Zea mays: one gene and its partners. The protein of the gene in region 2 interacts with the protein of the main gene of each other region in a pairwise test. Links are inferred from orthologs where the notes say so. Each region holds a gene or a part of one and is shown on either strand. Other genes may lie near its edges. The genes, in order: Protein SGT1 homolog, suppressor of RPS4-RLD 1 and protein SGT1 homolog.

Region 1 (7,154 bases), on a different chromosome or scaffold from region 2:
GAGGGCGTCGCCGCCAGGCCGGAAGCCCGGCGCGCGCACTTCGCGGCCTAAAAGAAGGTACCGTACCGGTCGTCCCGTGCAGCATAGAACGGTAGTAGTAGAACCAGCTGAAGAAGGTGGTGCGATGATATGATGGCTTATTGCTTTTCTCTTCTTTTTTTTCTTCCCTGGTTGTGGTATGGCAGCAAGAAGAGCCAGCTGAAGAAGGTGGTGCGGGAGATGCCGGCGGCCGACGGCGGCTCGTCGTCGTCGGACCCGTGGGCGTGGCGCAAGTATGGCCAAAAGCCCATCAAGGGCTCGCCTTATCCGCGGTAACTACCTTTGACCTCGCCTTAACATGCTTTCCACGCGTTGCACTCACTGCCTGCTACTAGCTAGCTGGTATAGGTGGCCTTATCGTCGAACGTTGACTCAATCACTCCCAACACCTTAATTATTGCCACCTTTTCTTAAGGAAACAAGAAGGCACCTTTTCTTTAAGGAAACAAGAAGAAAGGGATGGCATGCATGCCATCCTTGAGGCTTCGCATAGGTGTCCTAGCCTAGCTAGTGTAATTAGGAGCTTTGATAATTCAGCCACAAGAGCGAGACGCCAAAGCCACTTGGACATCACCAATCAAGCTTTTTGCAGTACAGTACTACGTACAAGATACTGTAATTCGATAGCCGTACTGCGTGCTTGCAGTTGACCCTGTGGCTGCTGGCCCGCACGCTCAGCGAACTAACGCGACTGTTGCGATGGGAATTGATCTGTGGCCGCAGGGGGTACTACAAGTGCAGCAGCATGAAGGGGTGCATGGCGCGGAAGCTGGTGGAGCGCAGCCCAGCGAAGCCCGGGGTGCTCATCGTCACCTACATGGCGGAGCACTGCCACCCCGTGCCCACGCAGCTCAACGCGCTCGCGGGCACCACTCGCCACAAGCCGTCGTCCGGCGCGGCCGCCGAGCACAGCGCGGCCTCCTCTCCCAAGAGCCACGAGCATGGTGGACAGGCGGCCGGCCGTGGCACCGGCGACCGCGAGCATGGCAGCAGCGAGACGTCAACGGTGGCCGGGGAGATTGGCGGCGAGGAGATAGCGGCCGTCGACGACGACAGCGAGTTCTGGCCTGAGGGGCTGGACCTGGACGAGCTCTTGGCGCCCGTCGACGACGACTTCGATTTCGAGCAGGTCATCGAGGCGGAAGATGGCGTACTGGGACGCCGGCTCTCCCTCTAGGTGGGCGCTGTAACGCCAGAAATCAGAACCTTCAATGGCAATGGAGGACGAAAAGACCTCGCCTCGAAGAGATTCTATGTATAGGCGTCTTTTTTGTGCGTGTTTCTGACAAACAGGACCCCGAAAACTAACGGGCTGATGAATTTCCGTTGTATATCGTGCTTGCGTAATCTCCGAGAAGTCGGTGCGCATTGAGTTTTGTACATGTACTCCTATAATTCAGGTGCCACCTGGCTGTATTGAGCGCATGAACCAGGCAACATACCTGAAACCTGAAACCAAGTAAAACGCCGATGCATAAATGCCAGGTAGAAATCAATTTTCCCATAAATTCAATTCATCCACCAAAGAGACGCAAATGCAACTGTGCCAACGGTGGACCACTGTAACATAGGTCCCTGCATAGTTTCTATTATTCAGTTGTGAAGATCACACTACGCTGACAAGAAAAACATCTTAGACCAAAAAGAATAGGCATTCCATACATTATAGTTTGCTGTCTTTGATACCACAGATGGTTCCCGGTCGATACCACATAATAGCATACCTATGTCCATCAAAAGCTACGGCAAGTAGCACTCAGACACACGCTAGACTGTCATACAGAAAGCTTACAAAAGCAGAGACTTAACCAAGCAAGCTCATGGCACTATGGGTGGACGGAATTAGGTCATAGTTTCCAAGACCTGGATTTACAAAAGATGGGCAGTCCAAACTTTAGTATTCCCACTTCTTGAGCTCCATACCATCAGGGGGGCTCCCTTCTACCTTCTTTGCTCCAACATCTTTCCAATTGGTTGAGAGAACAGTGCCATTTGATTCCACCTGCAGAAACGGGCAAGGATACGTGAGTATAGACATAAAATACAGTTGGCTCCAAATCCAGTATTAGCTGGGCCAAACATCACGTACGAATGACTTCATCATGGCCCTCCGCATATCTTCATCAGCATCCTTGTAGATGTCACGGAAGAATTTGTTCAATGCAGCATCACCATCAAGTTTTTCTTCCTTCTCCTGATGCAGACACAAATCATGAAACCCCATTCATATTCGATAAACCCAAGTTCTAGCAATAAGATCGATACATATATAAGTGAGGATCTTCATCAAACCTCCTTTTTGACTTCAGCTTCCAGTTTATCCCAGTCTTTTTTCGCCTTTGAAGATGGGTATGAAGGTCTTGGGGCTGTTTCAGCTGCAGAACATATATACAAAAAAATGTAGAAATGCAAGACGATTCAAGAAATGATCCAGATTGTCGATTGGCCAATATTATATACAGAAATATGTTCATCGCAAACTGTAGAACATGTACAAACAATCCATGAACCACAAAATGGACACACTAGAAAACTAACATGTGCACAAATCCATTACATTAAATTTAGTAGCCTCACTAGTCACTTGAACAACAATCCAGATTGTTTAGTTGACCAATACCATATAGAGATGGCTGTTGTTGTTCATCTCAAACTATCTATCATGTACACAGTTCCGGATAAAGCTTAATCATTTACCATCCACCATGAAATGAAATAGAAATGGACCATTGTAAGGCTATGCCAAACAGATCATGCATATGGCCATGCAAAACACCATTTACACTGTAGATTATATTGTTTACAAAGTGGAGTTTAAAATAAATGATAGGGATGAGTATGCTGCTGGAGCCTAAAAGTAAATTGTGTACAACTCCATAAATTTTAACTTGATAGTTCATTTAATGATTACTTAAAATTTAAATTCTTGCCGACGAAAGCAAGATGAGGTCACCTCAACAGATGGTCTCTAAGGAAATCTCCAACAGCTTACCAATCCTCATACCCATATTCAAATTTCAACCTACGAACAGTGCAGTCTACAATGCAAAACAGTGTTTTTGGTGACCATAAGGGTGAACTGCTGGACACGGTCAAAGAGTACTCGTTAATATCAAGGTTATTAAGGCGTCACTAAAGCAACACTTAAGCGGAAAGGTGAGCCTAGACATGCAAGGCGTCGCCTTGCCAGCGAGAGTAAGGGGCGGGGAAAGCAGCATCAGCAGCACATGGCCGGGCCGGCCAGAAGAGGAGGGAGAGCCACAGGGGAGGGAGGAGAGCTGCGGGGAGGGAAAAGCTGCTGGCGGCTGAGATATTTGTGTGGTGACTGGTGAGGTTTTAACCCTAAAATTGTTGTGTTGGGTTGGGTTGAATGGTTGTGGGATTATTTCTTTTTTCTTTTTCCTATTTCTCTCTTCCACTAGGCTGAAATGGGCCTACTAGGCCTTACGGTTGTGCTAGCTTGCTTATTACCTTTGAATCAGTGGTATATAAATAATATTTGGTGTAATTTTTTTATATTTATCTATATAATTAAGGTGTCACTTCGCCTTACTCTTTACCGCCTAAAGTTAAAAAGGCCAAAGGGGGTCGATCGCCTTATGTCGCCTTAATAACTATTGTTAATATCGCTGCATAACTACAAGCACAATACTTCTGGTTGGCAACATGCTTATGCTTCTTCTGTTGGCAAATCAATACTTCAAATAGGTGAATTAGAGCAAAGGATATTAACGTCTATGAACCATGATACACATTGACCGTAATTTCCCTAATACACCACAGTAAAGAATTAGAGGAAATGATATCAATAGTATGAAACACCATTGACCGTAATTTCCCCCAATATGCAATAGTAATGAATATCATGTATATGTATGTTAGAATATCAAAGTCCTCTTGAATGACAATATTATACACCATTGACCATAATTTCCCTAATATGCCATAGTAATGAATATCATGTATGTTAGAATATCCAAGTCCTTTTCAAGGACGATGTCATCATTCATCATCCGTGCATCATGCATCTTTATTATAATGCACTTCATTCCACACCATCATTCTGATATCCACTCTTATAAACTTCAGGCACGAAACTAGTTTCAGGGGGACAGTGTGCGGACTAATCTAAGGTAGGTGAATGATATGGAACTGAGCAAAGAAAGGTGTAGAGGTAGAAATACTTAACTACCCATATAAAAACATCCAGCAAACGACAAGATGATCAAAGAAACAAAAGAAAATTCAGAACTCTGGCCTACCCACAATTCAGAGTTAGCACTTAAAAGGTGCCTGATTATGCTTTGACCCATCTCTAGGATGGAAGGAAATCATCAGTAAATCACAGTTTCAGAGACTCAGACATGATGAGTGGCAATAGTTCTAAAAGATTTGTTACCTGGCGTGCTTATCTTCTGGGGAACAGTCTTTGGTCTTCCACTATAATCCAGGGTTGTCCATGTCACCTGCTCAGCTTTTGCAAGGCGTATTTCGACCTTGGTGGATAAGACTTGATATTTGCATTTCTCAGGGATAATCTGATTTCCAACAATATAAAAACATTTATTCACACATAAGAAAGGATTCAATAAGCTAATTAGATAAGTACAGTCCACAAACATTACTGGATTGACAAGCAATGCTATGCGGAATTTAAATGACAGGCCCACATGTCAACAAGACCAAAAGAAAATGACTCCATTACCAGGTCTTAATTGGTTTATATGTCACTCCAAAGAAAAAAGAGAGAACAAAAATGCAACATCACTTTAGTTTCCACAAACTAACAAAAAACCTTACAATCATTCAGAAACCTGATACACATGAATTTTATACAAGCATTCAAAATTATTTACCAAGAGCAGATCTAGAAACAAATCAAGAAGTGCTGTTGAAGCAATTTTTGGAGTTCACAAATTCAAGTCATTCCATGCTTATCAAAAGAATTGCATTGACTGCATTATATATGATGAAGAAAAAAGAACTGTGCTGTCTGCGGTGTATAAACCCAAATCGTTGAATGAAACACTGCTATGTCTTATTAGCTAACCAGTTTAGCTAAATCACAAAAAAAACAGGTGGTTGAACTTTACAGGGGGGTAATATTAACCAAAAACATCACAGTTGAGCACAGGACCTGCTAAATACTTCTTTAAAAAATAACACAAAGCAACATCTTGATTTGAATCCCCATTGCCTGTGTTTATACAGTAGAAAAAAAATGTAAAGTGAACCTTGTGTGTGCGTGTGTGTGTTTTGTTTCTCTGGAGTTATTTAATTTTTTCAGTCTTGACCTTTTGATTGAGACTCAGCATCTAGAAGTCATAAATAAATTTCTATTTTGTATCTGACCCTTGTCTTGAAGACAAAATGACAAAGTGCTAGCTATATGCTATACAGTAAAACTCACACTTTACCTTAATAACAGATAATAAGTATGAAAAGTAACATCACAATAGAATGGTGAGTGATTACCTTAGAAAACAGACGGGGCTGAAAATGGTATGGTTCTTCACCAGGAACTTCAATGGATACACTCAACTAGAATGAGAAACAAGATTAGTGAATACAGTAAAAACAGACAAGACAATTATAATAATAATATGAGCAGAACACACCATCTGTTCACCAAAATCAATGACTACACTATCAGCAGGAACACCCTTAGCAAATATTGTCAGTACCACTTCTGTGGCACTGTTGTAGTAGTCATGCCTGCAGCACAAATTGTTTAAGAGAAAAATTTAGCAAAAAAACTAGCAAGTCATGCCTGAATTAGAATATGCTTATCAGTAAACAAATCTGTACTGGGAAAAGGTAAAGTGGTTTGATTACACAGCATTCAATCCAAGCTAGGTGGTTCAAAGAGTTCTAGGAATTTACAGGAGTTACCTGTATTTTGGTTTGCTTGGGGGTTCTATCACTGGTGGTGTATTCTCCATATTTGTGAAATCCTCCTTGTCCTCAATAGTAGCAGCCACAGTAGCCTCAACATTCTTTACTGGTGCCTGGCTAGATTCCTCTGGAAACATAAACAAAATAACATGACAGGTAGTATGAGATGATTAAGCTGAAACATAATCATCCCCCAGTCTACAAGGCTGCTACAAACATTTCTCAGGAAAGGCAGCTAAGTGGACTCATATCGTCAGAAAATAGCATGCACCACATTGCATACCCAAGACCCCAACATCACCACCAGATACACACACACTGCTGAAGTTAATTTTTCTCACCAGCGATGCGCTCATCACATTCCTTCAATAGACGAGCAAACCTTGAATCGCCTGATGCATAAGAAGAACCCAACTCAAGAGCAGCCTTTGCAGTTTGGTATTCTTCAAGCTTAATGCATGCAGCACTGCAAACAAGAAATAACTTAGTACATAGATAAAAATGTAGCAGAGGGGTTATGGGAGTGTTCATGTATAACTTTTATTGAAAAAATGAAGAGTGCCACTAACCCTTTCCGGTAGTAAGCTTTATGCATCATAGGATCAAGCTCAATTGCTTTGTTAGCATCCGCCACAGCCTCTGGAAGTTTAGTTGATTCCATTAGTGCAATACATTTATTGTGTTTAAAACCAAATATGCAAGCCAATGATGGTAGCATGAATAACGCTACAAACTGAAAAGAAACTTCATGTGCAGTTTATTGTTACACAAACGAAGAAAGTTGCAATGACAACACCATGTAGTTTATTATTTTAGTAATTTGGTTGCAATGATTCACATGTAATCGAAGCCAAACTTTACACATAATTTCTTATAACAGCCACACCATTCCTACTGATTCAGATGTAACAAGAGCCAGACTTTGCATTCCATTTCTTATTGCAAAAAAAATACTGCAACAACAGCAAATCAACATGTGGTTTCTTATTTTGGAAACTGCTGATATGTATGTACAGTTAGGACGAGGGGAGAAGTAGAATAGTGCTACACAGCTATATAAACATATCTAAAAGGCTAAAACAGTAGGTGATTTTGTCAATTTAGCTGCAAAATGTGGTCAAAATGAGCTACTAATCTGCACTATAATGGTATAACCTACAGAGAGATACAACAAATGATATAGCCCCATACTAGGACCACAGATACTAATATAATCTAAA
Region 2 (6,400 bases):
TCCCTGTAAGATTCCCGGAGATGTCGGACGAGGAGCACCAGTTCGAGTCCAAGGCCGACGCCGGCGCCTCCAAGACCTACCCGCAGCAGGCCGGCACCATCCGCAAGAACGGCTACATCGTCATCAAGGGACGTCCCTGCAAGGTGAGAGATTTGGCCATCGCATGTTTGAGGCAGATTTCTTAGCTGTGGATTTAGATATACTTCAAGTGCTGGGTCTGCTGCATTCACACCTGGAAGGATTTTGCTGCAGATGTGTCTATGGATATGTATACCGTGACCTACAGTGCCGCTCTGTAGGATAAAGATTTGGTTTCAATTTTGCCACAGTTTCCATCTGGATGAAGTGCTCCATGGGGCTATTCCCATGTGGTGGTTCTGCACCTAACATGTTGTCTGAACATGTCTAAACAATTTAGTATACGTTCTTGTTTTAGGTTGTTGAGGTCTCCACTTCCAAGACTGGGAAGCATGGGCATGCCAAGTGCCACTTTGTTGGCATTGACGTTTTCACTGGAAAGAAGCTTGAGGATATTGTTCCTTCTTCTCACAACTGTGATGTAAGCTATCATTGTCACTCCTTGTGGTTGCTTGTTCAGTTATGAGTGCACGTAACCTTTTTGTCTTGTCCGTGCATTGTACAGGTTCCCCATGTTGATCGCACTGAGTATCAGCTGATTGACATCACTGAAGATGGATTTGTGCGTTTGCTTCCATTGCAACAACCTGGCATTTCTGTAATACTTTCCGGTTTAGTTTAGTTTAGTTTATAATGATCGATGAGAGCATTTTACAGGTGAGCCTTTTGACTGACAGTGGCAACACTAAGGATGACCTCAGGCTTCCGACTGATGAAGCTCTGGAAGGCCAGGTCAGTTAGCGGCGGCAGATTCCCCTCCACCGCTTCTGTTCCAGGTCTCTGAGACTGAGACATTTCGCTCTACGTCTGCAGATCAAGAGCGGATATGATGATGGAAAGGACCTCCTCCTGACGGTGATGTCTTCCATGGGCGAGGAACAGATCTGCGCTGTCAAGGAGATCGGGGGCAAGAACTAAAGCCGCTGCTGCTGTCTCGTGTGCTTAGAGTTGAGATGCATAGATAAAGCGTATAAGTTATCTGTGGTTTTGGGTTTACCTGGAAATTTGTCGAGGTGGTTGGTGTTACTACTCTACTTGGTTAGCGATCTGTGGTATTCTTTTCAACTTAGTTATGGTCAATATGTATTCAGTTGAAATATTTGGTTTAAATTCTTGCCTACAGTCTTGTTATGCCTTGTAGGATCGGCAGCAGCTCTATCCTATGCCTTTGTATTGAGGGTTGCGACGGTCTGCTCGTGTTCATTTTCTGTATATCTCGCTGATTTAGATATATCTAAAATATCCAACACAGCAAGAGGAGGCTCTGTGCAGTTGGGCCAACCTAACCGAAAGGCCAAACCAGCATTACGAAGGTCCAAAATACCAAGACCACATCAACTCCTTTGGACGACAGGCAACGCAACACCTCTCAACCGTGTTTGTACATGTCTCTTGACTTGCGTATGTGTAGAGCTCGAAGTCAGTCAATGATGATGGTGAAAGTAGTGGATTCGTGCTTATGGACTCTGATAAATGTCAAATACCACAAGGCCTTGAGTAATAGCTCTATAAATAAGAGGGAAATCCTCTAGGCTAAGTGTTCAAGACCATATACCATGGCATACAAACATCCAAGAAGTAACTGCAAAACTTATTGGTGTTTAACTGTTTATTACAAAAAAAAAAAAAAAACTTGTTCCAATGAAAATAAATCTTATTTTTTTTCAAGTTACAACATTACTGCATATCTGTATACAACACAGAAACATACAAACTTTTTGCAAACTGAGAAATTCTGACAAGCTAAGCAAAGCTGAGGTATTTTGAAACAAATACACTAACAACTGGAGCAACCTATAACACTTGGACAAATAACCTATGGGTCAACAGATGTTAGGGCCGCTACAACCGAACCTGTCGTGCTGAACGCGCAGCTGACGTCCGTGTAATCTTTCAGGCACCTGCTTATTTTTGTGGATGGGTACAACCAGGGCTTCACGGCGTCAACAAATGTGCCGGGATCTGGAGACAGGATCGCCTCCCAATCAACTTGGACACCGGGTGGAATGCTGGCAGTAATATCCATGTTTGCTGCCAGGAATAAACCGAGCAACACTACGTAGCCAACAACAGCCGAGCCTCTCGAAAGAGGCATAAAATTGTACCTGCAAAATCCACCACATTGATTAGGATCATTTTGTTGGGAGTGCAGAGAGAGAGAGAGAGAGAGAGAGAGAGAGAGAGAGAGAGAGAGAGAGTAGAGGTTGCAATCATTACCAGTAATATGTCATCCGCAATATCGCGTCCTTCACAGCATCAAGCACACCAGGGTCTCGTGTGGGGTTTGTGTCATTACAATATGCCTCACAAATAGCCTGCAGATCACAACAAATGTCTTAGGTTCATTATAAACTAGCAATACAAGTCCTAAGCACATATTGGGTCTGAATACGACTTAAACTCTTTCCATTACAGGCATTCTCTGATATTATACAGTTGGAGAATGTCATGCTCTGTAAACATTTCCCATACCAAACCTTCTCCAAACTCGGGGAAAAAAAAGTCATAAGCAACATTACAATAAATTTGAACTGTACCTCCCAGGCTGCAGTCATTTCTTCATCATACTCCTCCCATCTCGATGGCGTGCAAGGTGTTCGAATTGCAAAGTCAAATCCTGTCTTGCCTCTGCAGTACCATCACACAAGTAAGCAGTAGATAGCAACAGAGCATAGTCCAAGAGCAAAACAAGAGAAGTGTCTAGCAAACTTGCATGTTTTGAGTGGTAATTCTTGTCCCTTCAAGGCGCCTCCTGAAAGAAAGCATGTTATGTTAGTATGTAAGCCAAGGGATAGTGTGATACTCTTTTTCTAAATACTTTCTCTGAAGTCTGATGTAGGTAAAAAAAAAGTTAATTACCCCCGAAACGCCATACTATCACATCTTGTAGCAACCCAGTAGGTCTCACCAACTACATGGTACAAATCTGAGCATGACGATGCAATTTCTATCTGCAGGAGTAATCTCTCATGAGAACATAGATTTTCAAAAACATAGCATAACTTCCACATTGCCGAAAAGCTATGACAAACTACTATGAGAATCAATCAAATCCAAGCCATCTTGCTCAACACATCCAAAAGGTAATCAGCCCTTGACATACAATAAGAAATAGATCTAATGGAGCGATAAACAATACCATAAAAACTCGACATGTTGGGGTAAGACTGCCCCCGCGATATTGTATATTAAGACCTTCTCATGCAGGTCGAAAAAACTCCCAAACCCCTGCCCTACTCAAACACAGCGGTATTGTAGCGCATGTGAGAATGACCGCCAGGCCTTAGATCTGTGCTTTGGTGTGGGACATATGAGAGGATTTTTTTTTTTTAACCCCAACCTAAAATTCGCTCCCACAGGGAATCGAACTCACCTGAGGAGTGCTATTCAAACTACATAACCAACTCAGCTAGAGGCCCTTTCGCTATAAAAAATTACCATTACCTATCCATTTTGAAACATGCTAACAGGTTCGATTTGGGACTCATGGGACTGCAATATCTTGCTCCAATGGAATGTATACCAGATGGTTTCACAGAATGGTGGCAAATGCAACTAAGAGGCTGGTGAAGGAACAACGCAGCAGATTTCATTCCATGGTCATCTTGTGCGCAGGGAGGATTTAGAAACAGCAGAACGTATGCATCTTTGAGAGGGCAGTGTTCAGTATGCATACAGTCATCAGGTTAGTGTTGGGGAAAGTCAAGTCTCTGGTGCATGGCAGGGATGGAAAGGGAGAATGTTCTCTGCTCTGCTGCACTGATAGCGTTCCTGGGTCATTTTTTCCCTTTTGTATGTGTGGTGCAAATGTTTAGTTAGTAACCCCTGTGTACATTTGGGTGTGTTTTGTTTTTGTTTTTGTGACCTGGGGTATTTTTATTTGCAACTTCTTTTCATCTACTTAATACAGTGGCTGAGAAAATAAATGGAGGCATTGATATTGACCATGAGCTCATGTTACTCGACAGACTGCTGCATGGCTTACCTTTTTCAACTTGTCAATATCTGTAAGAAAAATTGCACGGTCCTCTGCATTATTGACATACTTCAAGTCAAGCATTATAGTCTTCGCAGTTTCCAAGACTCTGTATGAGAAAACAAGACCATTATTGACTATACAAAGACAACATATCAACCTCCTTTTAGTCTCAATCATGTTTGTTAGGTAGACCATTAGTGGTTAAAAATAACCAAATAGCAAACAGATGATGTTTCAACCTTTGGTAATATGGATAGTAGCGAATAACTTTTGCTTGACCAAGAAGCATTGGGGTATGAGAACCAAATCCAGAATTGAACTCTTCACTGGTAAAAGAGAAAGAGTAAGAAAATTGTTAAACAGTTTAGTATTCCATGTACAAACATTTAGCTCACCTTAGCTTATTGACCCAAACAACTGGATCACAAGGTTCAGAAATTTGTCTCCACTTAACAGCAATGTTATAGACATCCTGCCAGGAAAGAGAGATCCCGGAGGAGACCCTGTCTTCATTTGGGCTGGAAGTTGGAGATCCAGCCAAAGTGCTAGTGCTACAATAACCTCCCCTGTTCTGGCTCATGTTAAGTTTATCCCTTTTCCTAACTAACTTTGCGATGTTCTTCGGATTCCTTAGAAAGCGCCAAGCCTTGGACACTTTCTGAGCAATCTCAATAGCAGCCAACCCGGCCATGCGGTACTTCAAAAGTAAAACGGAATTTTAGCACAGCAGGAAACTTTTGACCACAGTGCACCGATAAAGAGTATTGGAATATATTTTAAAATAAATGAAATGACAATTAGAAAATGTAATATTAACTGAAATAACCAATAATCTGCACAGAACTCTGGCATTCCACAATTCCCAAACTGGGAAGCACTCTGGTATATAAACTCTAATTATACAAGCACAGTGGGAGAAAGCAAGCGTAAATGAGTAGTAGCCAGGCCATCACTGGCCAACATCATGCAGTTCAGAACTGGGTTAGTGCTCAATCTCTGCTAGCATGTCTAGAGAGGCAACTATGTAAAAGAGCATTCATCAAAACTTATCCAGATAAGTGAGGCACAAAAAAAGCTACATATGTATATTCCCCCAGCAAGCTTGATTTATCCTTCAGTAATATCCTCAACAAGACTTCTATGTGTTCACCCAGTGACAGTAGAGAACTCAATACAGTATTCCTTGCATATCAACTAAAACAAAGCAAGGTAAGCATCACAATATACTCCCTCAAATGTATATATTGATTGATGCTTTACCATAATCAATGTAATCAACCTCTCAAATAATGTCACATTCCACCTGTAGAAAATTCTAGGTGCAGATCTATTTCATTCTTAATTGTAATCAATATTAATTCAAACATATAAAGAACTGAGGTCATGGTGAAGCTGAAGCACTCATCAGTCTGGACAGTCGAACAATTACATGGTGGATAATTTTGATGGCAGCGAAGCAATTGGAAAATGTAAAGCTTCAAGAGGGATACCTGACGTTGATTTGGTAAGAAGCCATGACAATTGTATTGAATCTTCTTCCCAATTGAATCTGCAGCTAGAAGAAGAGTTGTTTGATGCTTTGTGAATTTGAAGTCTTGCTTGTTAAGGCGCCCACTTCTCAATGAGATCCGCAACGGTGGCTGGCGATAAACCTTTTCAGCCACATTTTTGGGATGTAGTCGTTTGCACCAGTATTCCTATTGATCATATTGAAGCCCTTTTAGGTTTGATGCACCACAAATGAATTGTAACAGGCACATGGGATAACCTTAACCTTAAATAGTGGGTCAACATCATCATCAATGTTGAACTGAGAGAACTCTAAATTGGCCTTTGAAGCAATATACAGAGCCATTTCCTTCTGCAAGAAAACCCCAATAATATATTATTAAGAGAATAAATGAAACCTGAAAATTACTCCATTCCAAATTATAAGACGTTTTGGCTTTTCCAAGTACATAGCTTTTGCTATGCATTTAGATATATACTAGATCTAAGTATATAGTAAAAGCAATGTCTTATAATTTGGAAGAGAGAAAGTAGGAAGCTGCCGAAAAATAAGGGAAGGGACCACATTTAATATAAGCAGCTAGGGCTGAGACAACATCCAACAAATGTAAAAACAGATCATGTTAGTCTTTGTAAGAAAAGAGTGGAAAATTATCCCAGAAGAACATATGAACATCTTCATGAAGAAAAAGTTGGTTCCACATTTAATATAAGCAGCTGGGGCTGAGGCAACAGCCAACAAATGTAACAGTGGATCATGCTAGTCTTTGTAAT
Region 3 (7,037 bases), on a different chromosome or scaffold from region 2:
GATTCTACTATCATTGACTAAAAAAATTCAAACACAGCTACTATAGCGCTAGCTCAAGTGCTCAACACTACACTCGGATCGGATCAATATTGATTGTCATGTATTTGTTTTCATGTTGAGACATGTAGACATGTATTTTTGTCATGTTGAGAATGTTGCTTGTTGAAGGACATGTATATTTGTTTAAATTTTTATGAAATTTTAAGTTGTGTATGATGTTGAATTAGGAAGAAATTTGATTAATTATGGTATTCAATTGCTGAAAATGGTTCTTTACCATATCCGATGGATATCCAATGGATATTCGAAACCCGATGGGCATGGATATGGATATCAATTTCTACCCGCGGATATAGTCATGGGTGGATATTATCTATGACCATGGATATGTCGGTGGGCGGATATTTTCAATATCCGATCCGAATCCGACCCGTTGCCATCCCTACACCTGAGCGTTGTCAAGCGGATCGTCTTTTACCTTTCGGGTATCGTCGACTACATGCTCCTTCGACACTCCACACATGAGTTGGTTGACCACACCGGCGTTGAGTGGTCAAGTGCCCAGGCACTCATCGATCTACCTCTGGCTATGCGATGTTCCTTAGGGACAACCTCATCTCCTATTCCTCCAAGCGTCAGCCCGTGATCTCCTGCTCTAGTGCTGAGGCTGAGTATCGGGTTGTTGCTAATGGAGTGGCTGAGGCGAGCTGGCTGCACCAACTCCTCTAGGAGCTTCATAGCCCCCTCACCAGGAGTACATTTGTCTACTACAACAACATCAGTCCCATCTACCTCTCTGTCAACCCTGTCTAGCACCAGTGCACGAAGCATGTTGAGATCGATCTTCATTTCGTTCAGGAGCACATTGCTATTAGGGTCGTTCATGCCCTGCACATCTCGATGACCTCGCAGTTTGCTAACATCTCCACTAAGAGACTTCCATCCTCAATGTTCACAGAGTTTCGCTCTAGCCTCAACATCTGTTATGGCTAGAGTTTCGTGTATGGGAGGTGTTAGACCGTGTGCTATTGTATGGTTGATTGTGTCCAAGTATTATGGGCCTAGAGCCTAGCAGATGTACAACCCATTAGGGTTATGGAGGAAACCTCGGTAGTGGCTGATATATATGTAATATTATCCATAAATTAATCCATCCATTCCACTCTAACATGAATAACACTACAAACTAAAAAGAAACTTCATGCAGACTTCCTTGTTACAACAAACAAAAAAAGTTGCAATGGCAACACCATGTAGTTTATTATTTTAGTAATTTGGTTATAATGATTCACATGTAACCGAAGCGAAACTTTACACACCACATCTTATTACTACCACACCATGCATTTCTTATGGTTACTACTGATTCAGACATAGCCAAACTTTGCATTATGTTTCTTATTGCAAACAAATACAATAATGACAGCAAATCAACATGTAGTTTCTTATTTTGGAAACTGCTGGTATGGATGCTGGTATGGATGTACAGTTAGGATGAGAGAGGAAACTAGAAGAAAACCAATGTTAAAGATGGTATACAACTATATAAAATATATAAAATAGGAGGCATTTTTTGGTCAAATTTAACTGCAGAATGTGGTCAGAATGAATTACTTGGCACTACAATCGTGCGCTAGCCTCTCTATCCGCTTCTCCCTCTCTCATGTGCCTCCGTCGCCAGCCATCGTGCGCTAGCCTCTCTCCCACCCGCCTTAGGTGACAAAGCAAGGCGGGGAGGACACCTTACCTCACTGGAGCGCCTTACCATCTAGGCGAAAATGCCTTAAAAACTATGTTCCAGAGACTCATACAACAAAATGACCTCACCCCATACTAAGACCAACAGAGATTAATACAATCTAAATCCTTCCAAATCACTGTGTCATCACAACTTCTTCAACATGCTGCTGAAACCCCTCAAGCCACCAATTGAGTTGTACTATTTCACATGTATACACACATTTCACCCGAAACTCTCGGAGCAACAACAAAAAAAAGCATAGCAATGAAGCAAGAAACAAGGGGTAACACATTACAAACCACATAAATGAAACTGGTAAGGAACTTGGGGCATACCTAAAAACATGCACAGCACCACGATAGTAGCGGACTAGGCGGATGCCTTACAACACACATTGCGACCCAACAATTAGGGAACTTTGGATAAAACGTATCACGCACCATTGTTATTAAAATGTCGTTTAAACATCGTTTAAACGTCGTTTAAGCGAGAAAACGTGATTAAAATTTGGAACGTCCGAGCGTTTTAGGTTTAGGGCGTAGAACGTCCGTTTCGAGCGTTTAAACGTCGTTTAAGTGTCCTAATAGCGTTTTAGGGTGTTTTACACGTTCTACCCGTCCTAGGCCTTTCTTGGGCCTTTAGCATTTTCTAGGTGGCCACTGGCCAGCGCTGGACGCACGCTGCGCTCCTCTCTCCTCTCCTCAGCCAATTGCCGCTCTCTGCCAACCGCTGTGGGGCTCAGCCGTGGAGGCACAACCGGCCGCCACCGCCGTCCTCCTCTTCTCCGTCGGCCAAGAACTGCGCCCACAGCAAACCTGCGGCCAAGACAAGAGACCTGCACTACACCCAACTGCCAAAGACAGGAGACCTACTCAACTGTGGAATCAATATTGGTGAGTACGTGAGTACTAATTTTGTGCAACCATATTGCCCAACAGTGAATCAATCATTCAATCTCTATTTGCTCAACCATATTGGTGAGTACTGATTCTATATTGGTTTGTGAACTCAACTTATGTATGAACTTATTCTATATTTGAATTTCTATGCCAAGTCTGAAAAGACGTTTCAACATTCGTTTAAATGTTACAAAGTTGGTTCATAACGTTTTACCGCTTTAATAACCATGTCACGCACACATCAAAGCGACAAGTAGGGCACTAAGAATATACATTGCAACGCACGGCTCAAAGCTATATCCCAAACATAAGGGCATGTACAATCCATTGAATATGGGTTCTCTTGCGAGGTTTTTAGGAGGTTAAATAAAAAAGTACCAGAGACAGTCTTCACAAAGAGACTGTCTCTATGTGACTCTCTATATATATTGTGTCTTCACTATATTTATAAACTAGAGGCTCAGGGTTGTATCGTACCATCTGTTAGCTGTCTCTTATATATAGAAACCCGATACAAGTGCTCAAAGTTGTACATGTCCTAATTAGCCATGGACATTTCACGCAATTTGAATCTTCATACTCCACAGTACACACAACATACAACAACGAACTAAACTCTGGCTAATCATATTCTCAACTCTAATCGGCCATTTCAGAAACACCAATCATCTAGTGCCCTCTTTGAAATTCAAATCGGATGATTCATCGCCCAAGTCTACACCAAAGGTCGACGTTGACCTCCCACACCCTACCCTAGAATCGCCACGAGCGAGCTCATTACAACAACAAAACAGTGAATCAAACTAGCCTTCTAAGGCCATCTCTAGTAGATCCCTTATTCATCTCCTATCTCATCTACTATTTCAAACTTCACTCTACAAATAGTATCGAATAGTGTTATCTACAGTGTCACGTCCCATATTTTACACGATCCGCCGAAGACGGCCTAAAAGCCGCACAACACTATACCAGACCCTTGCGGTTACATTCACACATGTTGGATTTATGGGCTTGACTCAATTTCAATTGAGAAATTCAATTAAATCTTAGGAAAATTATAAAAGCCCATGTGTGGCAAGGGAGATAGCTATTCGATCGCAACCTTATCGAATCACGATCGTATCGGATCGCGAGCTTATCGGTTCATGGACATGACCATATATAAGGCGTCTACCAACCATTGCCAGAGAACATCCCATCCCAACCTAAGTTAGGTTTTCGCCTCTGCTTACAGCTGTGACGCCATCGTAGTCCTCTTCATCCTAAGCATCGACGTGCATCTGCGATCGGGAGAGCAGGTCTCTGAAACCTATCGCCTTCGAGATTCTGCACCGGAAGAGGACGAATAAGGTTTTTGGGAAACGTCTTCACGTGACTGCTCGTGTTCTTCTCATCGACCCTGCTGCTTCGAATGACCCTGCTGCTTCGAAATTATCGATGTCTGATCAGTACGTATTATCTAATTTGACTTTATACTTCAGTTCATCTGTTATGGTAGAGATATACTTCAGTTCATCTGTTATGATAGAGATGTGCTGTATTTTTATAATTATATCGCTAGATAATAGGTTACTTGTGCACCTAGACTATTTATCGTTGATCATGATTTACATTCGGAATTGAATATGTAAAATGTCTAATTATTCAACAACACCCACGCTCGCTCGTCGAACTACTGTCCTCACACGTCAGCGCACAAGCAATCGAATCAGGTTGGGGGAGGGGGGGGGGGGAGGCACTGCCCGCACCAGTGTAGTTGCCGAGCTTGATGTGCGCCTGGGCGCGGTCGGCGTAGAGATCGGCAGTGGCGGGCCCGGCGTCGATGGCCTGCGTGTAGAGTTCGGCGGCCAGCTCGAAGTCGTCGTCGACGAAGGCCTCCTTGGCTTTGCTCTCCAGATCCGACGCGGCCATGGCGCTCCCTCCGGCTCTGGGCGTCTGCTGCCGACGCGACCAGACGATGACTTGAACGAGAGCAAACAGAATAATCGAGGTCACTCGTACGTGGCCACGTGGGCAGGGCAGGCGAAGGGATGGGGTTAACGGCGCAGCCTTTTGAATGGCCCGCGAGGTTCTAGAGAGTTCGATGAGTTAGAGGCCGAGGCTAGGGCGGGCCGGGGTTTAGCTGCATCATTTGCAGCTTGCGGATTGGGCTTCTTGTGCTTTTCTCTCTCTTTCTTTTTCTCTTTTGTGTGGGTCAAGTTGTCGGTCGTACTATGATTTTTGTTGCGAGAAAGGTTCGCGAGCCGCTAACTGATTGGTTGATTTGATTAGTTGGTGACTGTCGATTTGACTCTTATCTCTACTAATCCTTAAGGCAATAGTGTAGACTAGGCACAACCATACCCCCGCCTCCATCTCGACCGTCCGATTACCACATCAATCTCGCCTCCATCTCGACCGTCTGATTGCCTCGCTCTCGCTCTCGCTCCCGCAGCCGCAGCCGCAGCCGCAGCCACAGGCACCCGGCCATGCGAGCAGCCACCCCCGCACCCGTCTCCATCTCGCGCAGCCATGCCCCCCAACAACCACCCGTGTCCCGCCCCAAACCCCCGCTGCCATGCGCGCAACCGCCCCCGACCATGCGCGCAGCCTGGTGGGGCTCGGGCTCGGTGGCATGGTGGGCGCTGGCGTGTTCGTGACCACGGGCCGGCGCCGCCCGCCTCTACGCGGGGCCCGGGCTCGTCGTGTCCTACGCCATTGTCGGCCTCTGCGCGCTGCTCTTCGCCTTCTGCGTACGACTCCGTGGACATGGGCGACGGCGAGCTGGTGGTCCTCGACAGCCGCGGCGTGCTCCCTTGCTTCCTCATCATCTGCAAGGTCTAGCCGCCGCCGAGCCGACTCGGGACCTGACTGGAGCACTGACCGACCGTCGTGACCGCTAACCGCCATCGTTACTGTCCACGCTAATCGCTAGGCCTCTCTAGCATTGTTTTGGGACCCTGCTTTTCAGCAGTGTTAGCCTGTCAGGTGTGGATGAGCCACAGGAAATGGAGCCCGAGAGAGGGCTGATTTCTCTGTTGTGTGTCTGCATGCCGTTGTCGATGAGTTGCGCAGGATGCTGGATCCCGGGAAGCCATCTTTCACCCCCAGCAAAGGGAAGCCCAATTTGGTCATGTTCGTCGGCTTGTAGGGTCAGTATCGTTCATCTGCCTAATTGTTCGTTACATCTTATTCTTACATATAATGTCGAATTGCTTGTCTCCATTGATTGTGCAAAGTACCATACACACAGTAGAAGATGCATGTCTTCGTTCAGTGTTTATTTCCACACACCTGGAATGAAACAATAGAAGGTGTTTGTTTGATAAATCATTAGCAACAAATTATGTAGTTATTTCTTTTTCATGTTTAAATTGGGCGTATTTGTCACTGATGATTATATGTTTAAGGCCTTTATTTCAAAGGTTTGGGGCTGCCTATTTTTCGGGGGTGTTTGAATCTCGAAATGGTATAGAGAAGCATTCTCTTTTGCTTTCGCCTGTCCATTCAAACAGGTTATCTCTTCCAATCGCGTCGCTCTGCCATCCAATGTACCTTGGCCTTCTTTGCTTCTGCTCTGGTGCAATTTGCAGAGGACGGAAGAAGACTGAAAGCATCCGATCTCCCGGACGGCTCCCAACGAGATTCACGACTTCTCAATTCTCATCATCGTCCCTGTTTAAAGTGCTTTTGGCGCTACGCCCGGGTTCTCTTCTTCCTCCCGACGTCGCCGCTCGTCCATTTGCTCCCGTCGATCAATCTCTTCGTCTGTTTCCTTCCGTCGACCAAGGATCATGATTTTTTTCCAGCGCCAATAGGTTTCCGTGACACACGATTTGGCTGTATGCGTTGGCAACATCTTAGGGAGCCAGGCGATCGAAGAGGTTGGCCGTTGCCGGAGCGGGGCTCGTGTTGCATTTGTACTAGAACGAGACTTAAAGTATGCGTTGGTGTGTAAAGCTAGATATTATAACATCAGTGCAAGTGTGTAAAGCTAAATATTAAATGTTCTCCCCTGGTTTATGATTAATATTAACTCGAACAAAGAATTCTATTGTTGTCAAATGCCATTTTTTTACATGTATGCAAGGAGCAGTTGCTAGAATATTATAATTGGTAATTGGTATATAAACATCAGTTCCCATTGTTTACCACATATCTTTTCTAAACGTCATTTCTATTTATTGTGAGGGATTTGTTACAGAAATCATCCTCTCAGGCGGGATTTCGGTGCCAAATATCATATCGGCGGTGGAGGGGGCTGTCGGTCTCGACGACCGTGGCTGGGCGGTGAAGGACTCCTAGCTCACGCTTCTTCCAACTCACCCTGACAGTTGAGGCTTCCTTCTCTCTTCATCACAATCTTAGGTTGCTCTTCGAGGTTCTGAATGTTCTAGATTGTAGGTTTTAGGCAACGT

What was found.
Region 1: the proteins of suppressor of RPS4-RLD 1 (region 2) and Protein SGT1 homolog interact in a two-hybrid assay, tested with the Arabidopsis thaliana proteins (2 studies listed by BioGRID). The link is inferred for Zea mays from reciprocal best matches to the Arabidopsis thaliana genes SRFR1 and SGT1B.
Region 3: the proteins of suppressor of RPS4-RLD 1 (region 2) and protein SGT1 homolog interact in a two-hybrid assay, tested with the Arabidopsis thaliana proteins (2 studies listed by BioGRID). The link is inferred for Zea mays from reciprocal best matches to the Arabidopsis thaliana genes SRFR1 and SGT1A.

The regions. Positions count from the first base shown.
Region 1 is NC_050098.1:222,987,378-222,994,531, forward strand, and holds the end of Protein SGT1 homolog, read right to left. Parts: intron 6,574-7,154; coding exon 6,504-6,573; intron 6,401-6,503; coding exon 6,276-6,400; intron 6,062-6,275; coding exon 5,932-6,061; intron 5,755-5,931; coding exon 5,658-5,754; intron 5,581-5,657; coding exon 5,515-5,580; intron 4,578-5,514; coding exon 4,439-4,577; intron 2,415-4,438; coding exon 2,332-2,414; intron 2,234-2,331; coding exon 2,129-2,233; intron 2,042-2,128; coding exon 1,934-2,041; 3' UTR 1,658-1,933; downstream 1-1,657. Other genes in the region: WRKY transcription factor 22, read left to right, coding at 1-57, 186-311, 763-1,216.
Region 2 is NC_050097.1:242,701,625-242,708,024, forward strand, and holds the end of suppressor of RPS4-RLD 1, read right to left. Parts: intron 5,979-6,400; coding exon 5,892-5,978; intron 5,815-5,891; coding exon 5,608-5,814; intron 4,815-5,607; coding exon 4,513-4,814; intron 4,444-4,512; coding exon 4,357-4,443; intron 4,224-4,356; coding exon 4,124-4,223; intron 3,090-4,123; coding exon 2,998-3,089; intron 2,891-2,997; coding exon 2,852-2,890; intron 2,767-2,851; coding exon 2,676-2,766; intron 2,454-2,675; coding exon 2,356-2,453; intron 2,244-2,355; coding exon 1,955-2,243; 3' UTR 1,632-1,954; downstream 1-1,631. Other genes in the region: eukaryotic translation initiation factor 5A-1/2, read left to right, coding at 21-143, 437-559, 644-700, 796-870, 952-1,056. UniProt on the Arabidopsis thaliana protein: Negative regulator of effector-triggered immunity associated with the EDS1 resistance pathway. May localize its interactors to a microsomal membrane. May therefore negatively regulate RPS4 and SNC1 translocation to the nucleus.
Region 3 is NC_050103.1:149,010,345-149,017,381, reverse strand, and holds the start of protein SGT1 homolog, read right to left. Parts: upstream 4,631-7,037; 5' UTR 4,552-4,630; coding exon 4,389-4,551; intron 169-4,388; exon of another isoform or gene 1-168. UniProt on the Arabidopsis thaliana protein: Functions in R gene-mediated resistance, but participates in a lower extent than SGT1B to RPP5-mediated resistance. Not required for RPM1, RPS2, RPS4 and RPS5-mediated resistance.